Arabidopsis thaliana: one gene and its partners. The protein of the gene in region 2 purifies or fractionates together with the protein of the main gene of each other region. This does not show direct contact. Each region holds a gene or a part of one and is shown on either strand. Other genes may lie near its edges. The genes, in order: AT3G02760, AT1G18130 and AT5G02680.

Evidence for each region.
Region 1: the proteins of AT1G18130 (region 2) and AT3G02760 fractionate together in Arabidopsis thaliana (co-fractionation; one large-scale study listed by BioGRID). This does not show direct contact.
Region 3: the proteins of AT1G18130 (region 2) and AT5G02680 fractionate together in Arabidopsis thaliana (co-fractionation; one large-scale study listed by BioGRID). This does not show direct contact.

The regions. Positions count from the first base shown.
Region 1 is NC_003074.8:598,296-603,376, forward strand, and holds the start of AT3G02760 (Class II aaRS and biotin synthetases superfamily protein), read right to left. Parts: upstream 2,489-5,081; 5' UTR 2,356-2,488; coding exon 1,006-2,355; intron 932-1,005; coding exon 752-931; intron 662-751; coding exon 404-661; intron 321-403; coding exon 1-320. Other genes in the region: AT3G02770 (Ribonuclease E inhibitor RraA/Dimethylmenaquinone methyltransferase), read right to left, coding at 2,722-3,038, 3,406-3,589; IPP2 (isopentenyl pyrophosphate:dimethylallyl pyrophosphate isomerase 2), read right to left, coding at 4,283-4,533, 4,626-4,763, 4,862-4,964.
Region 2 is NC_003070.9:6,233,932-6,239,012, reverse strand, and holds AT1G18130 (Class II aaRS and biotin synthetases superfamily protein), read right to left. Parts: upstream 3,119-5,081; coding exon 3,071-3,118; intron 921-3,070; coding exon 699-920; intron 604-698; coding exon 532-603; intron 447-531; coding exon 375-446; intron 298-374; coding exon 214-297; downstream 1-213. Other genes in the region: LAC1 (laccase 1), read left to right, coding at 1-27.
Region 3 is NC_003076.8:602,195-607,275, forward strand, and holds the start of AT5G02680 (methionine-tRNA ligase), read left to right. Parts: upstream 1-2,723; 5' UTR 2,724-2,822; intron 2,823-3,530; 5' UTR 3,531-3,720; intron 3,721-3,850; 5' UTR 3,851-3,870; coding exon 3,871-3,916; intron 3,917-4,027; coding exon 4,028-4,104; intron 4,105-4,202; coding exon 4,203-4,238; intron 4,239-4,412; coding exon 4,413-4,535; intron 4,536-4,995; exon of another isoform or gene 4,996-5,081. Other genes in the region: AT5G02660 (ubiquitin carboxyl-terminal hydrolase-like protein, putative (DUF627 and DUF629)), read left to right, coding at 1-53, 137-277; AT5G02670 (uncharacterized protein), read right to left, coding at 777-1,097, 1,219-1,389, 1,559-1,788, 1,926-2,052, 2,143-2,412.

The DNA of each region.
Region 1 (5,081 bases), on a different chromosome or scaffold from region 2:
TTTGATCTTTTAAGAGCTTCAAACATGATACTCAACTCATCAAGAGCTTCTCTTGATGACTGGTTATCTAAGAACTCACTCCCTTCTTGTCTCAGTTTAGACAACAGCTCCAAAGGAGCTCCCTTCTCCTTAACGAAGTTGCCAATTCTGTCTGCAATCTCTGAAGACAAGCCCTTCTCCTCCACCATTTCTTTCTTCACTTGCTCAAACGATTGCTTGTCTAGCTTGTCGATACTCGAACAGATGGTTCTGAATTTCTCAGGTGGTACTCCACATATCTCCAGCATTCCATCAAGCAACTTGCGGTGATTCAGTTTCACCTATTTAAACAAACCAGAATTAAGAACATAGCCAAAGAAAAAACCAACCAGGAAAGATTAAGACTTTCAACTTAAGTTATTACCTCATAATCTCCTATTTCTAACTCATCGAGGAGTTCAGTTAATATCTTGACAATTTCAAAATCGGGTCCCATTGGTTCGAACAAACCAGCGATATCAAAATCACACTGATAAAACTCTCTGTATCTCCCTTTAGATGGATTATCCCTTCTGTACACCTTTGCTATTTGGTATCTTTTGAATGATGTGATTCCATTCATAGCCACATACCGTGCAAATGGAACAGTTAGATCATATCGTAAAGAGCAAAGCTCTCCACCCTGCAATTAATAGATCCATATGAGCTCAAATTTTGACAAACAAATCATCACATAAACTGATGATATTACAGCAGCCAAGAAGAGTTCTACCTGATCAGCAATATCATAAACCAATTTCGAGTCTTCTCCGTACTTTCCCATAAGGGTCTCTCTCAATTCAAAAACAGGAGTATCAAGTGCAGTTGCACCATGCCTCTTGAAAACGTTTTGTATGATTGAAAAGGCTTTTTCTCGGACTGCCATTTGTTCTTTAGCGAAATCTCGAGTTCCCTGTCATAGAATGAAACAAATCAGAAATTAACTCTGAGGCCTAAACCTTCTCCATATACGAGATTGTAATTTACCTTTGGAAGCTTGGGAAGTCTCCTATTTTCATTACTTTCTACAATCTCTTTCACTTTATCCAACAAGCTATCAAAACTGCGACCCTCTGGGTTGAAAAGATTTAAGATTTGCTCCCCACATTGCATCAATGAATGCATCTGGTCACCATCACTTGCTGCGTCATTACTCACCAATCTATCTTTGATAAACTGGATAACTAGGCTTGTCCCCTTTCCCACAACTGCTTTTTTCTCATTCTTCTTCTTTTTCTTATCGGTCTTCGACTCTTCTTTGTCCGCATCTCCGCTCTTCTGAACAAACAATTCTCCACCAGCAAGAGCAAAAAAGGCAGCAACTGCCTCCAAACCAACAATTCTCCATACAATTCCCAGACACTCATTCAGTTTGTGAGCAAACCTGCAGTAATCCTCTTCCAAATGAGCAGTATAAGCTAACTTATAGCTATTCTTTAGATTCTCATTCTCAACACAGATCTTTTCAGATAAACATTTCTTCAGATTCTCATCCACAATCTTCTCAAAACAAAGCTTAGCACGAAGGAACGAACACACTCCCAAGTTTTTAATCGCCGTTAACAAAGGTAACAATGTTGTTCCTAAAGCCTCACCAATCCCAGTGTTTCCAGACCCAGTTTTGCCTCCTTTAACACCGGAATTCAATTCTCTCCTAGCATCCGCGTGCACGCTTTTCACCACATACCTGAATTTCCCATGAATCCAAGGGATTTTCGAAATCTCTTCTATTTCTAATTTCCCTGTACCTTTATACCCGTTAAGCAAAACCTTGAGATCACCAGCAACACCAATCACATCTTTATCACCATTCCCATCTCCTGAATCCAACAAGCTAAACGAAGCTATATCAGCCTTTGTAACCTCACAACTCAACGCAGCAACAGAATCCACAATCTGTGAAAGAGTCGTCGATTTGTGATCTATAATAGAACAAATCCCAATCAACGAAGCACACGACTTCTCCAACACAATGTTTTCCCCTTCTGTCACATCAATCTCACCCAATTCCAAACTCTCAGCCTTCAAATTCAGAATCTCAACAATCTTAAGCGGAAGAACAGAACGAGCGGTGGATGAAGAAGGAGGACCAGAAGTCGACAAAATAAGCTTGTTTAAGAGAACAGCCAGAGAAGCTCGAGTTTCTTCGTTCGTTAACCCTTGAGGGATACCAAAGGAGCTCCTTTTGATCGATGGAACGTTTCTAGTGGAGAATCTCTCGATCGCAGAAGAGTCAATTCGAACATTAGCGACGCCGGAAGCAACATTGTAAACGGAGGAAGAAGATAAAGAAGAACCTTTCCCTCCGAGAGTGATGGACGATCTCTCCGCCGCCATTATCACACACAGAGCTGAAGCCGGAGTGATTAGGGTTTTCTGTCTTTCGTTGTGTTTGACCTAAAACGAAGCACTGTGAAATTGCAAGAAGGCGGATTTAGAAAATTGGTAAACTGCAAAATGACCCTCGAAGTATCCAGTTATTGGAAATTGATCTACGAAAAATGCTTGTATGGATACTTCAAGGATCTTTTTGCAATTTTCACTTTACGAAATGTTTTTTTTTATCAACTCGAAACGGATTCAATAGTTCAATAATCATATTCAAAGAAGCCAACTTTTACTCTGATAGCCATTACAGAAACACAAAGCACAAAAGTAGTAGCTTACAGATTTTAACAAATCAACAACATCACTTGTGTCCTTTTAAACGGATAATTCAATCTGAGAAACAAGGATACCATCAGTATCTGCATAAAGCCATTCGCCATCGCATATCCGAGTGCCTGCAATGTTCAAAGAGACTCTTTGTTCACCAAGTCCTTTCTTACTAGCCTTTATTGGATGAGAAGCTAAAGCTCTCACTCCAATGTCGCAACCATTGATCTCATCAACGTCTCTGATGCATCCATTCACTATGATCCCTGCCCATCCGTTGTTCTGCGCTTGTACGACCGGGTTTCCTCCTAGTATCGCACAGCGTAAACTCCCTCCACCATCCACCACAAGAACTCTACCATTGCCTGTTTTAACATTTAAAACATTATTGAGCTTTTGATGTGAATGCTACAGAGAACAGATTGGTTTATTGACTCGGGTTTTTGAAAGACCTATCTCGTCTCTAGTATTCAAGAACTTGATTAGCAAAGTGACTGAAGAAGTATATAAACACTGAGCAGTAGTTCTAAATCATAGAGAGATGATCTTAAGACTTCTTCAAACATAGTTTCAAGCAAAGAACAATTGAAACTATTTGACAAGTAAGTAACACAAGAATTGAATCTAAAATGTAACAATACCAATAAACCATGTCAAAGATACTCTGAAAGTTCATAGCTCTACGAGTAAAGTTTCAGTCTTTTGAATTTTATAAGCAAGAATCATTAATACCTTTCTCTTCGAGGAAGTGACGGATTAAGCCATTGTCTTCAAAGACTTTAACAGTAACTACTGGACCTGAAAATATTTGACGACGACCATAAATCTGAAAAACGGGTTGCAGAGCTCGGAGCTGGCCACTTCGAATCATCTCTTGATTCGCGTCACACACTTCCGCAGTGGTCACAAACGCCATTTTTTCTTCTCACCTGAATCAAGAATTATGATCAAAACAAGTAATCTGGGGATTTGATTATATGAGATTTACGAGAAATTACTCAAACACAGAAAGCAAAAGACAAATCGAGATTAGTCTAGATAAAGTGATCATATATATTCTCAGTCAATCAATCAAAACCCAGAAGGAAAGATACACACTTTTCATTCAATTCACAAGAAAACTATTTCAAAATCCATCTGGGTTTTGATCGAATCTTATTTCATTTACCTGGAATAGAAGAAACTAGGACGAAGAAGAGAACTCTGTGTGCGTAAATCTCTGAGAAATGAAGTGATGATAATTTAAAGGAGAACAAAGTCATCAACATACTTGTTTCGGTCGTTCAATAATATTAAATTAGTGACTTTTAACTTTACTTAAATCAGATGGAAGGTGGGTTGTCGTTAAGCTTCGAAAAAAGGAATCTTTGCGTTGCCTTTTCTCTGGTTTCGACTCTGTTTCCTTGTTATCCTTTTCCTCGACGCTTTTTGTACATCTCACAAACTTTGTGACATTCATTCATTAATTAAGATAAAAACGAAAACTTTATTATTGCCTGAGGTGCTTGGAAGTTTTGTAAGTGTCTCACATATCCCAAATTATTATCATCGAAAAGATAAAAATGATGAAGAGAAAGTTGATTGATTTAAAAACTTTAAAAAAAGATGTTCAGAGTTTGTGGATGGTTTTCATGTCTATAGCTTCAACCAAAGTTCCTTTCTCAACATGATCCCACCACTTCATCAAGAAATTGTCCACCACCAATCTGAACCATGGTGACAGTTTCAAACCTTCCTCACCTGCATCTGCTTTCTTCACCAGCTCCTTCAGCTCTTCCCGGCTCACATACTTGATCTCAGCTACTTCATCTGGGTTTGGTTGAACCTTCACGTCTCGCACGATGAAGAGCAAGTAATCAACTGCAAAAGGAAGGCCAACACAGAAGAAGCTTAAGGTTTTATTATTCTGTTCAAGAAAATGGGAACCAAGAGTCTTGAGAAATGGTATTTACGTTCATGCTCTCCCCATTTGCCATCAGAAGGAGCCTTGTACAGCATACGTCCCAAGGGAGTGAACTCATCGACTGGTACATCTTCAGCTACAATACCAAGCTCATCGAGAAGCTTTCTTTGTGCAGCATTCCTCACACCTGATGAGTAACAGTGAGGTCACTAGTTGAGAAAAGCTACAGTTTTCTACATAGATAGTAAAAAGAAGTACTAAATTGTTTTGCCAGTAGATACCCACCTAGTGCATTGTCCTGGATAAGCTCTGATTCACGGTAAAGAGGATGGCTGCAACAAGTGTTAGTCCACACTAGAGGGAACGTAACCTTTGTGTTTGACCTTTGCTGTTCAAACGAGAAGAAACCAGTCAGATGACATATGAGCCAGATTATTAAAACCCACCAACCATCTACGATCACGAGAGCATCCCATCATCATAGCAACACCCAACATGTGCAAGA
Region 2 (5,081 bases):
CCTCCTCATGATCTTCCTCAGTGTTAAAAAATGTCTTCTATTATTATTACCTGGTTTTGTTAGGGTTTTGGTTTCGCTAATTAAGAGTGTTTAAATATAAATATAGATTGTCTTTTTTGGTTTTAATTGTCAAAATGGTTTGTGAATTCTTAATAGAAACATATTTTCCAAATATCCACGTTCTTATGATCACTAGACACAAATAAAAGGGTCTCAAAGAAAGTTGGCCGTCTTCAATTTGAATTCATCCGACAGAGTCTCGATGCTCATCATTTCGTCTCTAAGCCAAACAGTCACCTGACAACAAAAACCATGTTTGTGAGAGAGGCTTGATGCACAGACATTTAATGGAATGAGCAAAACTGGATTCTAACCTGTCCCGTTCTAGCCTCTTCATCACCCACGACTAGTATGTAGTTGTAGTGTGCAACCTGAGCTTCTTGCACCTACTCACAACCACAATCATCATTCAAAATGTATACGGGAACATAAACCTCAATGGTTTGTGCTCAGGGACCTTGTAACAGTTACCTTGTCACTGACGTTTCTATCCGTTGTGTCAACATCAACATAGTAGCCAGCTTCGTGAATTTGATCTCTCACCTGTTTGAATATACGCAAACAAAGGAAATTAGGAAGAGAGATATAATAAGACTCTGCAAGTAAACTCGTTAAGAGTACAGTCATGAATGTATAACCTTGTCTGCGTAGGAACGATAATCCTCTGAAACAGAGCAAACTATGGCCTGGCGGGGACTAAGCCAGAAGGGGAATTTTCCTTTGTACTGTTCCAACAATATGGCAAAAAGACGCTCAACAGAGCTCAACACCGCTCTATGTATCAGCACAGATCTCTCTATCATAGTTTCATTCTCAGCTGAATATTCTAGTTTGAAGCGATCACGAAGGTGAAAATCAACCTGATATTAGGCAACAGCAGAAACGACACACTAAATAAACTGCCAAGAGAAATGCAGGGAATAGAAAAAAAAAAAAAAAAAAGAGTTTGGGAGCCAAACCTGTATAGTAGCACACTGGAATATAGGCACTTTCTTTTATGTTTTAAATAAAAACAAATATAGGCATTTTCTATATATTTACTTTTGTTAAGCTTTTCATTCACTATCTTTCTTTAACATCTTTAAATTAATAAAATGTTTTCTTAATGAATTTAGTTTAGTTTATTTAAGAAAAATAAAACGTTAAATTCTAAAACTTTGATTAAAAATAAAAAATTGGGAGATTTGTAAAACTACCATTTATTTACTACCATTTTGTAACAATACCCTATTATGTTGTTCATTTTTAAAAATATCCCTTCCCTTGAACAAAATGATTATATTACCCTCATCTAATAGGAACATGTAATTGGAAACTGAATTTTTTCCGCCAATTTTTTGGCGCCAAAATTTATTTTTCCCGCCGATTTTTGGCGCCAAAATTATTTTTCCCGCCGATTTTTTGGCGCCAAAAATTTTTTTTTCCGCCAAAAAAATATTTCCGCCAAACTTTTTTCCCGCTAAAAAAAAAATTCCCACCAAATTTTTTTTCGTAACAAATATTTTCTCAGCCGAAAAAATGCTTTTAAAAATCCTTGTAAATTTTTTTTGGCTAGAAATAAATTTACAAGGGATTTTAAAAGGGTTTTAAAAGATTTACAAGATATTTTAAAAGGGTTTTAAAAGATTTACAAGGGATTTAAAAAAGGTTTTAAAAGATTTACAATGGATTTTAAAGGATCTTCTTGTAAATTCTTTGAAAATCTTTTAAAAACCCTTGTACATCTTTTAAAACTCATTTAAACCCTTTAAAAATATCTTGTAAATCTTTTAAAATTCCTTATAAATCTTTTAAAACACTTTTAAACCCTTTAAAAAACCTTTGTAAATTTTTTAAAATCCCTTATAAATCTTTTAAAACACTTTAAACCCTTTAAAAATTTTAAAAAAACCTTTGTTAATCTTTTAAAGCCCTTTAAAATTCCTTTTAAATATTTTAAAACCCTTTTAAAATCCCTTGTAAATCTGTTAAAAACCTTTTAAAATCCCTTGTAAATCTGTTAAAAACCTTTTAAAATCCCTTGTAAATCTTTTAAAATCTCTTGTAAATCTTTTAAAACTCCTTTTAAAATCCCTTGTAAATCTTTTAAAACCCTTTTAAAATCCCTTGTAAATCTATTTCCCGCCAAAAAAAAAAATGCGGGAAAGAAATTTTTGAAAAAAAAATTTGGCGGGAATTTTTTTTTCGAAAAAGTTTTGCGGGAAAATTTTGGCGGGAAATTTATTTTAGAATATTTTAGACGAAAAAATATTAATATTTTATTTTGTTAACCTAAAATAATTTTTAAATAGGGGTAAAATGGTCATTAAAAATTTAAAGAGGGTATAAATGAAAATGGATAAAACAAAAGGGTAGAGTTGAAAAGGGGCATTATGAAAAGGGCATTAGAAAGAATTTTTCAACTTTCTAATGTAAAGTGGTTGAACTTTGTTTACATAACAAAAAAAATTGTTTTGATTAATCAAAGAAATGAATTGACTTTATTATCCATTAAGACAACAATGTTTGAAAAACTCGATTACGTGAATTTGATGAATAGTTTTGTAGGCAAAAATCTAAATAGAGCTATATTTAAAAATATAATTTTGTTTTTTTCCCTCTTTTTTACTTACAAAACGCTTATAAAATGTTATAAAAAATGTTCTATAAAGTTTTAGTATAACTTTTATATATTATTATTATTTGTGATTATGCAAACAAATAAAAGACACAATTTGTTTATTTTCATAAGGCATTTTTGCATGACAGACCGGCTCTGCCGTTGAGACGGTAATTTACTATTGCAAGAAACTCGCAAACGCCAAATAAGGGATGTATGTGACTAAGGAACTATTCTTCGACATAAACCGCGAGGTACGCTTACGTAATCCACACAAGCTCGTCAAACTGGTGAAGGTTAGCCCCAATCCTCGTATTTAACATTGCGCTTTGTCAAAAAAAATGCTATTGAAAAGGGCCCAAAAAATTCTGAATGTTTTTTCAAAGATACATCCTATAAATTGAGGTTCACGGCAGAGGATAGGTTTGTTTCATCCTCATCGGGATGATTCTTCGACATTGGTGGAGCAGCAGAGAACGAAGACGATGAGAAATTTGTAAAAAGTTGTGAGACGGACGTCGATAGGTTTTAGTTTCGGACTTTGGAGTTTCAGGGAGGGAGACCTTGTTTTTAATTTTGAAGCGTACTATGGGCCATGGGGGTGTCTTTTTTCCCAACAAATAGGAATTTTTGATATTTTAATATATTAACTTTAAATTATTATGAAACTAACAAGTTATTACTATTTCATAACAACCATTTATAGTTTATTATAATTAAAGCAATAAACGATTAGTATAGAAAATGTAGATTTTTTGCCCCAAAAAGAACATAAAGATATAATTATATCTATACATATTGGGAAATATATCTAAGGTATTTTTTCAACATTTTATAAAATAGTACTCATTTAATTCATTATTAAAATATTTCAACTAAAAAATAATTATTAAAATACCAAATTTTCTAATTAAACCCCTAAAATAAAATGGAACAGAATTGTTGTAAAGAAAGAAAAAAGATTAGACACTATAGAAAAAATAATAATAAAATAAAGGAAGAAAAGACAAGAATGGAAACAATAAAGAAGATTGTCGAACACTTCAACTTATCAAATATGAGCTTAATTAGGTTAACAATCTTGTATATTGCAAACGATATATCTCTACAGAAAAGATGAGCATTGTGCCTTCGAACGATCTTGTATATTTCAAACGATCCAGAAGAAACCTTTAAAATAGCTCTATTCTAACATATTTCGAACTTGCTTTCTTTTGTCAACAAGCATGCATCTTATATTATTGTAAACGACAAATCTTATTATATGAAGTATGGTTTTCAAAGTTACTAACTCATAAGATTATGCCACATGTCAAGTCTATCGATCAGATGTTGACATGTGTAAGAAAATAATTAACTTTTTTCTTCTTAAAGAAATAGAAATACTAAAAAAGAAATCAATTAACTTTTTTCTTCTTAAAGAAATAGAAAACTAAAAAATAAATCATTATTAACATATACTAATTCATATTTCTATATCTAAAAAATCTTACATTTTATTTTTCTTAACCAAAAGGAAAATTAACAAAAAAAAAAATTATATATGTTATTGGTCAAATTTTTAATATATATGGTATTAACAAATGTTTTATTATTATGAATTATGTTTTGTTAATTGTTAATAATTTTTAATATCTTATTATATAAAGTATGGTTTTCAAAGTTACTAACTCATACGATTTTGCCACGTGTCAAATCTATCAATCAGATGTTGACATGTGTAAGAAAATAATTAACTTTTTTCTTCTTAAAGAAATAGAAATACTTAAAAAGAAATCAATTAACTTTTTTCTTCTTAAAGAAATAGAAAACTAAAAAATAAATCATTATTAACATATACTAATTCATATGTCTATATCTAAAAAATATTACATTTTATTTTTCTTAACCAAAAGGAAAATTAACAAAAAAAAAAAATTATATATGTTATTGGTCAAATTTTTAATATATATGGTATTAGCAAATGTTTTATTATTATGAATTATGTTTTGTTAATTGTTAATAATTTTAATATTAACTAAGATATAGATTTGATCTCATATATATATATATATATATATTATTTTGACATGAAATCATTATCAAGTAAGATGAAGTGTGTAGAATTAAAATCGAGTTTTTTATGAAATAGATAGTTAAATTGTATTACAAAATTGAATGTATAAGATAAAAATTTATTTTTTCTTCTAAATACTAAATTATAATATAAAAAAGTGTGTAGGTTACTATTTAGACTTCAAATATCATCAATAAGACTGAATGGGTATAACAAAATAAAATGCATAAGACTACTATTTTACTATTCAAAATTATAAGAACAATGTATCGACTATTATTTTACTATTCAAAATTTAAATATTATCGATAAAAATTACATTTACATCTTACACCCGCCTATTTAGGCGGGTCTTATCTAGTTATT
Region 3 (5,081 bases), on a different chromosome or scaffold from region 2:
ACGACGACATTTTAGCTTCCATTGGTAATCTCTTCTCAGGGGTCCTAGAAGAGGTTAGCTTCTAACAGCTCCTAAATCTTCCTTTTTTAAACCTGTTAAACCCTTTTTTAACCTAGGACAATTCCTTTTGCTGCAGGTTGCTGAAACTGACTCTAGTATCCTCTTGATTGAAAAGTCAAGGATTGCTCTACTTGGTGAGCTCAACCAACTAGCGTTTTTTGACTACAGATCTTATGTTGCTAGACACCTCAAAAAGTTTCTGTTAACCAAGCTCTGAGTGAGAGAGGTTTTTTACCATATTTGATTTGTGTTTGAGTGAGAGAGATATGTTCATTTTTCACTTTTTACAAACCAACAAGTTTAGAGTTACCAAATATTGATTTCTGACTCAAAAATAACTTGGTCTCTGTGAATGTGTGTTGTTTTTGCTGCTGGTTTGGATTAGTGCTCTTGCTATAGCTTTGAAAAGGTCTCGTTATGATGATCTTCACTGAAGTTACACGACTCTATAGCTAGCTTGGAACTATGCTTGAAACAGTTGATTTCATTTGTTGTTTAATCTCAAAACTATATCTATATATACATATATGAAGCTACGGATATTTGAAAACATATACAAAACACTAGGACCAACCTAACAAGTCTTTAGAGAGTCTGTCTCCACTGATCCAACCCTAGCTTCCACTGTTGAGATTCTTCAGAGAGAGTCTGTCTCCACTGATCCAACCCTAGCTTCCACTGTTGAGATTCTTCAGAGAGAGTCTGTCTCCACAGATTCAATGTCCGGAGCATTTCTGGTTCTGCGCTGTAATCCCCAGTAAAAGACAATAATGTGTGGCTGCTTTGTAATAGGTTTCTCTTAGTTCCCAGTTTCCACAATACATAGATATCTTCCCAGATTTCTCCAACCAACAGGTCTTTGTCACCTTCTTGCTTCTGTTGTTGCTAGCACACTCACCATTCTTAGGCAGCTGAGATGCTTTCAAAACCGATGACTGGATTCTGCCAACTGGTCCCTGGAAGCAGGAAGCTGTTGAGATTCTGCAGAGAGAGTCTGTCTCCACAGATTCAATGTCCGGAGCATTTCTGGTTCTGCGCTGTAATCCCCAGTAAAAGACAATAATGTGTGGCTGCTTTGTAATAGGTTTCTCTTAGTTCCCAGTTTCCACAACACATAGATATCTTCCCAGATTTCTCCAACCAACAGGTCTTTGTCACCTTCTTGCTTCTGTTGTTGCTAGCACACTCACCATTCTTAGGCAGCTGAGATGCTTTCAAAACCGATGACTGGATTCTGCCAACTGGTCCCTGGAAGCAGGAAGCTGTTGAGATTCTGCAGAGAGAGTCTGTCTCCACAGATTCAGTGTCCGGAACATTTATGGTTCTGAGCTGAAATCCCCAGTAAAAGACAATAACATTTGGCTGCTTTGTAATAGGTTTCTTTTAGTTCCCAGTTTCCACAACACATAGATATCTTCTCAGATTCTCCAACAGGTCTTGTCACCTTTGTAATAGGTTTCTTTTAGTTCCCAGTTTCCACAACACATAGATATCTTACCAGAATCTCCAAGCAACAGGTCTTTGTCACCTTCTTGCTTCTGTTGTTGCTAGCACACTCACAATTCTTAGGTAGCTGAGATGCTTTCAAAACCGATAACTGGATTCTACCAACTGGTCCCAGGAAGCTTCCATTGTTGAGATTCAGTGAGGTGTAATCCCCAGTAAAAGACAATAATGTGTGGCTGCTTTGCTCTGATGGGTTTGGATCACAAAAATGCCATAGACTTCCTGTATTTCAATAACATGTGGAACAAAGCAAAGGCTACAGTCACAGACTATGAGACAGAACACAGAAGATTTCGTATCCCCAAAGAGTTGAACCAAAAGATGGGAAGTGGGTAACTTGATCAGAAGACAACGGAAACGTGACTTAACCCAACCACTGAGATGTTCCTGATTAGCAGCCGAGAGGTGTACATGTGTTTGCATACGGATAGAGCTCAAACAAAATTCTTCATTCTCTGCAGAAGCCTGAGATGTTCTCCACGCAACCTGCATCATCTGTTGCAATTTCCAATAAGCTAGTTAGCCTCTGTGAAGCATTATGTCGAATAGGTGATATGCAACATTTTTGTTCTTGACACTTGGTGACCTCCTCATAGTAATCCGAGCCAATTCCGATGTGGGTTTTTCTTCGTGGTGAATAAAGAACCTATCAATGCCAAAACCAGAGAGTAAATCATCAAAAATTAGGACATGTGATTGTGACTGTAATCGAAATCCAATGGTGAAGAAAACAAGTCCACGATGCTCCTTGAAAGATCGAATTCTCAATCTTCTGTTGTTGGAGAACACAAATCTGTCGCTAAGGTCAAAGCTTTTTCCTCCTCCTTCGATTGCTGTTCTAGACATGATGAATCAGAGTCTGTAATCGTTACTTTCTGTGGCTAGGAGCAGCGAATCCTGACCGTTGGATTGGTTTTTCTTTTTCTTTTTAATGTCCGTGATATTATTGTCTGAAGAAGAAAGAGAGACCAGTTTTGACTTTTGACTTCGAGTAATGAGAAGAAAAAGCACAGTGAGATTGCTGTTCTTGACGTTGAGTCAGAGTCTGTGGCTAGGAGCAGCTTCTTTTGTTTTTTGAATCGACAATGGTTGAGGAATAAACGAAATCCTGACCGTTGGATTTTTTCTTTTCTTTTCTTCTACTTAATAATGTCCGTGATATTATTATTGTCTAAAGGGGAGACCCGAGAAAGAGCGAGACCAGTTTTGACTTTTTGGACATTGTGTGTTTTCGATTCGATCTTTTTTTTCTGAAGGTATGCTTTTGAATTCGATTTTTTTTTTTTTTTCTCGAGATCTTTGCTTCGTGGTGTTTCCTTTGGACTTCGTTTGGTGATATTTCTGGGTTTCGTCTTTTGACGTTTTTTTTTTCTTCTCGATGAAATGTTTACTCAGCTGCCAAATTTCTCTGTTTGATATTGAGTGAGAGAGATTTGTTACTTTTTACAAAATCAACTAGTTTTAGGTTACCAAATTTGGTTTCGGTTTCGATGCTTAAACAATAACTTGGTGTAGTCGGTCTCTGTATGAATGTGTGTGTGTGTTGTTTTTGCTGCTGATTTGGATCTGTGCTTTTGTTATAGCGTTGAAAATGCCTCGTTATGATGACCTTTGAACACGGACTCGTTATATGCTAATTTGGAACTTTGCTTGAAACAGTTGATTTTTATCTGGATTTACATTTGATGTTTTATGCTTTTATCTCAAAACTCTGTATATATGAAGCTACGGATATTTGACCTCTGATATCCTATTTTGAAGTCTCAGCCTTGAGTGCACCACCTGCATGAGGATGTCATGAGATTTTTTTTTTTAGTGGTTTTTGAATCTTGTAACTACTAGTTGTTTTGGAGAAATTATGAGATTGTTCCTAAAATGTTTGGTAGCCCTTGTAATAAAGGTGTCAGCTTTGCTCTTGGGAAATGTTTTCGTTGGTCTTAGATGTTGGTAAATGCATGTTGCAGTTAACAATGCTGGTACTATCAATAAGAACACCAAGATTTGGGAAGTCTCTGCTGAAGATTTTGACAATGTCATCATGGTTAAAGGAGTAGCAAATGTGGCTGCGCCATTTTATCCCTTTGATGTTCCCACGGAAGCAAGAAATTACTGTAAATATGTCTTCTGGATGGTGGAAGATCTGGTGCTGCCCTGGTGAGTTTCATTGTGACTGTAATCCCCTTCATAGCCTGAAACCTCTACTCTGGTGCTGCCCTTGAAGACTTTGCCTTTGTCGTAAGTACTTCCACTTCATAGCCTGAAACCTCTACTCTTTCTTTTCCAGTGTGACTGTGATCCCCATGGATGTCTCTGTCCTTGAGGATCTTATCAGATAGAACACACAAAAAAGGTCTGTTTGGTTCTTGTCTTTTCTGAAGCTATATCCTCAAGGTCTTCTTAAGAAAGGTTTATCTTTTGTGAATTTGATTGTTTTCAACTGCTCATTTTTTTGTTTGTGCAGGTGATGGTTCCTTCTACGTGGCTTGGCACTGGGGAAAATTGGACACTGATGAAGACAATCAGAAAACTACGAAGACGGTCAGTTGATGTTTCACCATAGCTGAGTGTTTCTGTTTGATTTGCTTTTTTCTTCCATTTCTAGAAAATGAGGACATGTGTTTTGTATGGGTTTTCAGGAAAGTTCTCCAAGAGTTAAGGTGTTGGAGTGTTTGGTAATGAAGTAATAGATACAAATATACCTGTCCAAGTATGGAGATACTACTTGCTGACCAACAGGCCTGAAGTAACTGATCGCTGCCTTCTAGGTGTTTCTTCGTTCATCATAGGCATGCATAAACGTGTAAATGTCACCAACACTGGTTTGCTCTGGGGACTCTGCCTTCTAGGTGTCTGACACATTGTTTCCATGGAATGATTTGCAAGCAAAACTGAATGGCGAGTTTCTGAACAACCTAGGCAACTCTGTTAATCGAGCTCTGAGTTTTATAGCAAAGCACATGATAATGCAGGTTGGTTATACTTACTTTCAAATTCAATATTTTTAAGTATTTGGTGTTACCTGTAGATGGCTTTTTAGTTTGGCATATCCAAAAGAAAATATGGGATCTGTTGTATTCTTTTATTCAAACCAGCCAGTTGGTGTGTGCAAGTGAGAGATATTTGAATCGCAGGACATCAGACTATTGTAAAATGTTTGCTTGCGATTTTTGGTTTTCAATCTTTTTTTTGAACAAATAGGTAATTTAAAAACTTGAAAATGATAGAAAGGTGCATCTGGCTTGCAAGAGTCTTTACTATTATGATTATCCTGCTAAAGCTAATGTAACGCTCTCTGATAAGATTCCTCTCTTTGTAAGCTTATATGGACATGGAACGATTAACTGATAGAACATATAAAGATCGTTATACATGTATATGTATATCTGTTCATTCATACACTCTAGTGGATGGTCAAATGTTTGCATTTGGGATAGCATAAATGATCAAATTCTCTTAGAAACAGTTGAGTAATGTTATATGAATCTTGGCGTGGTATGGCTATCTGAGTTTCTGTG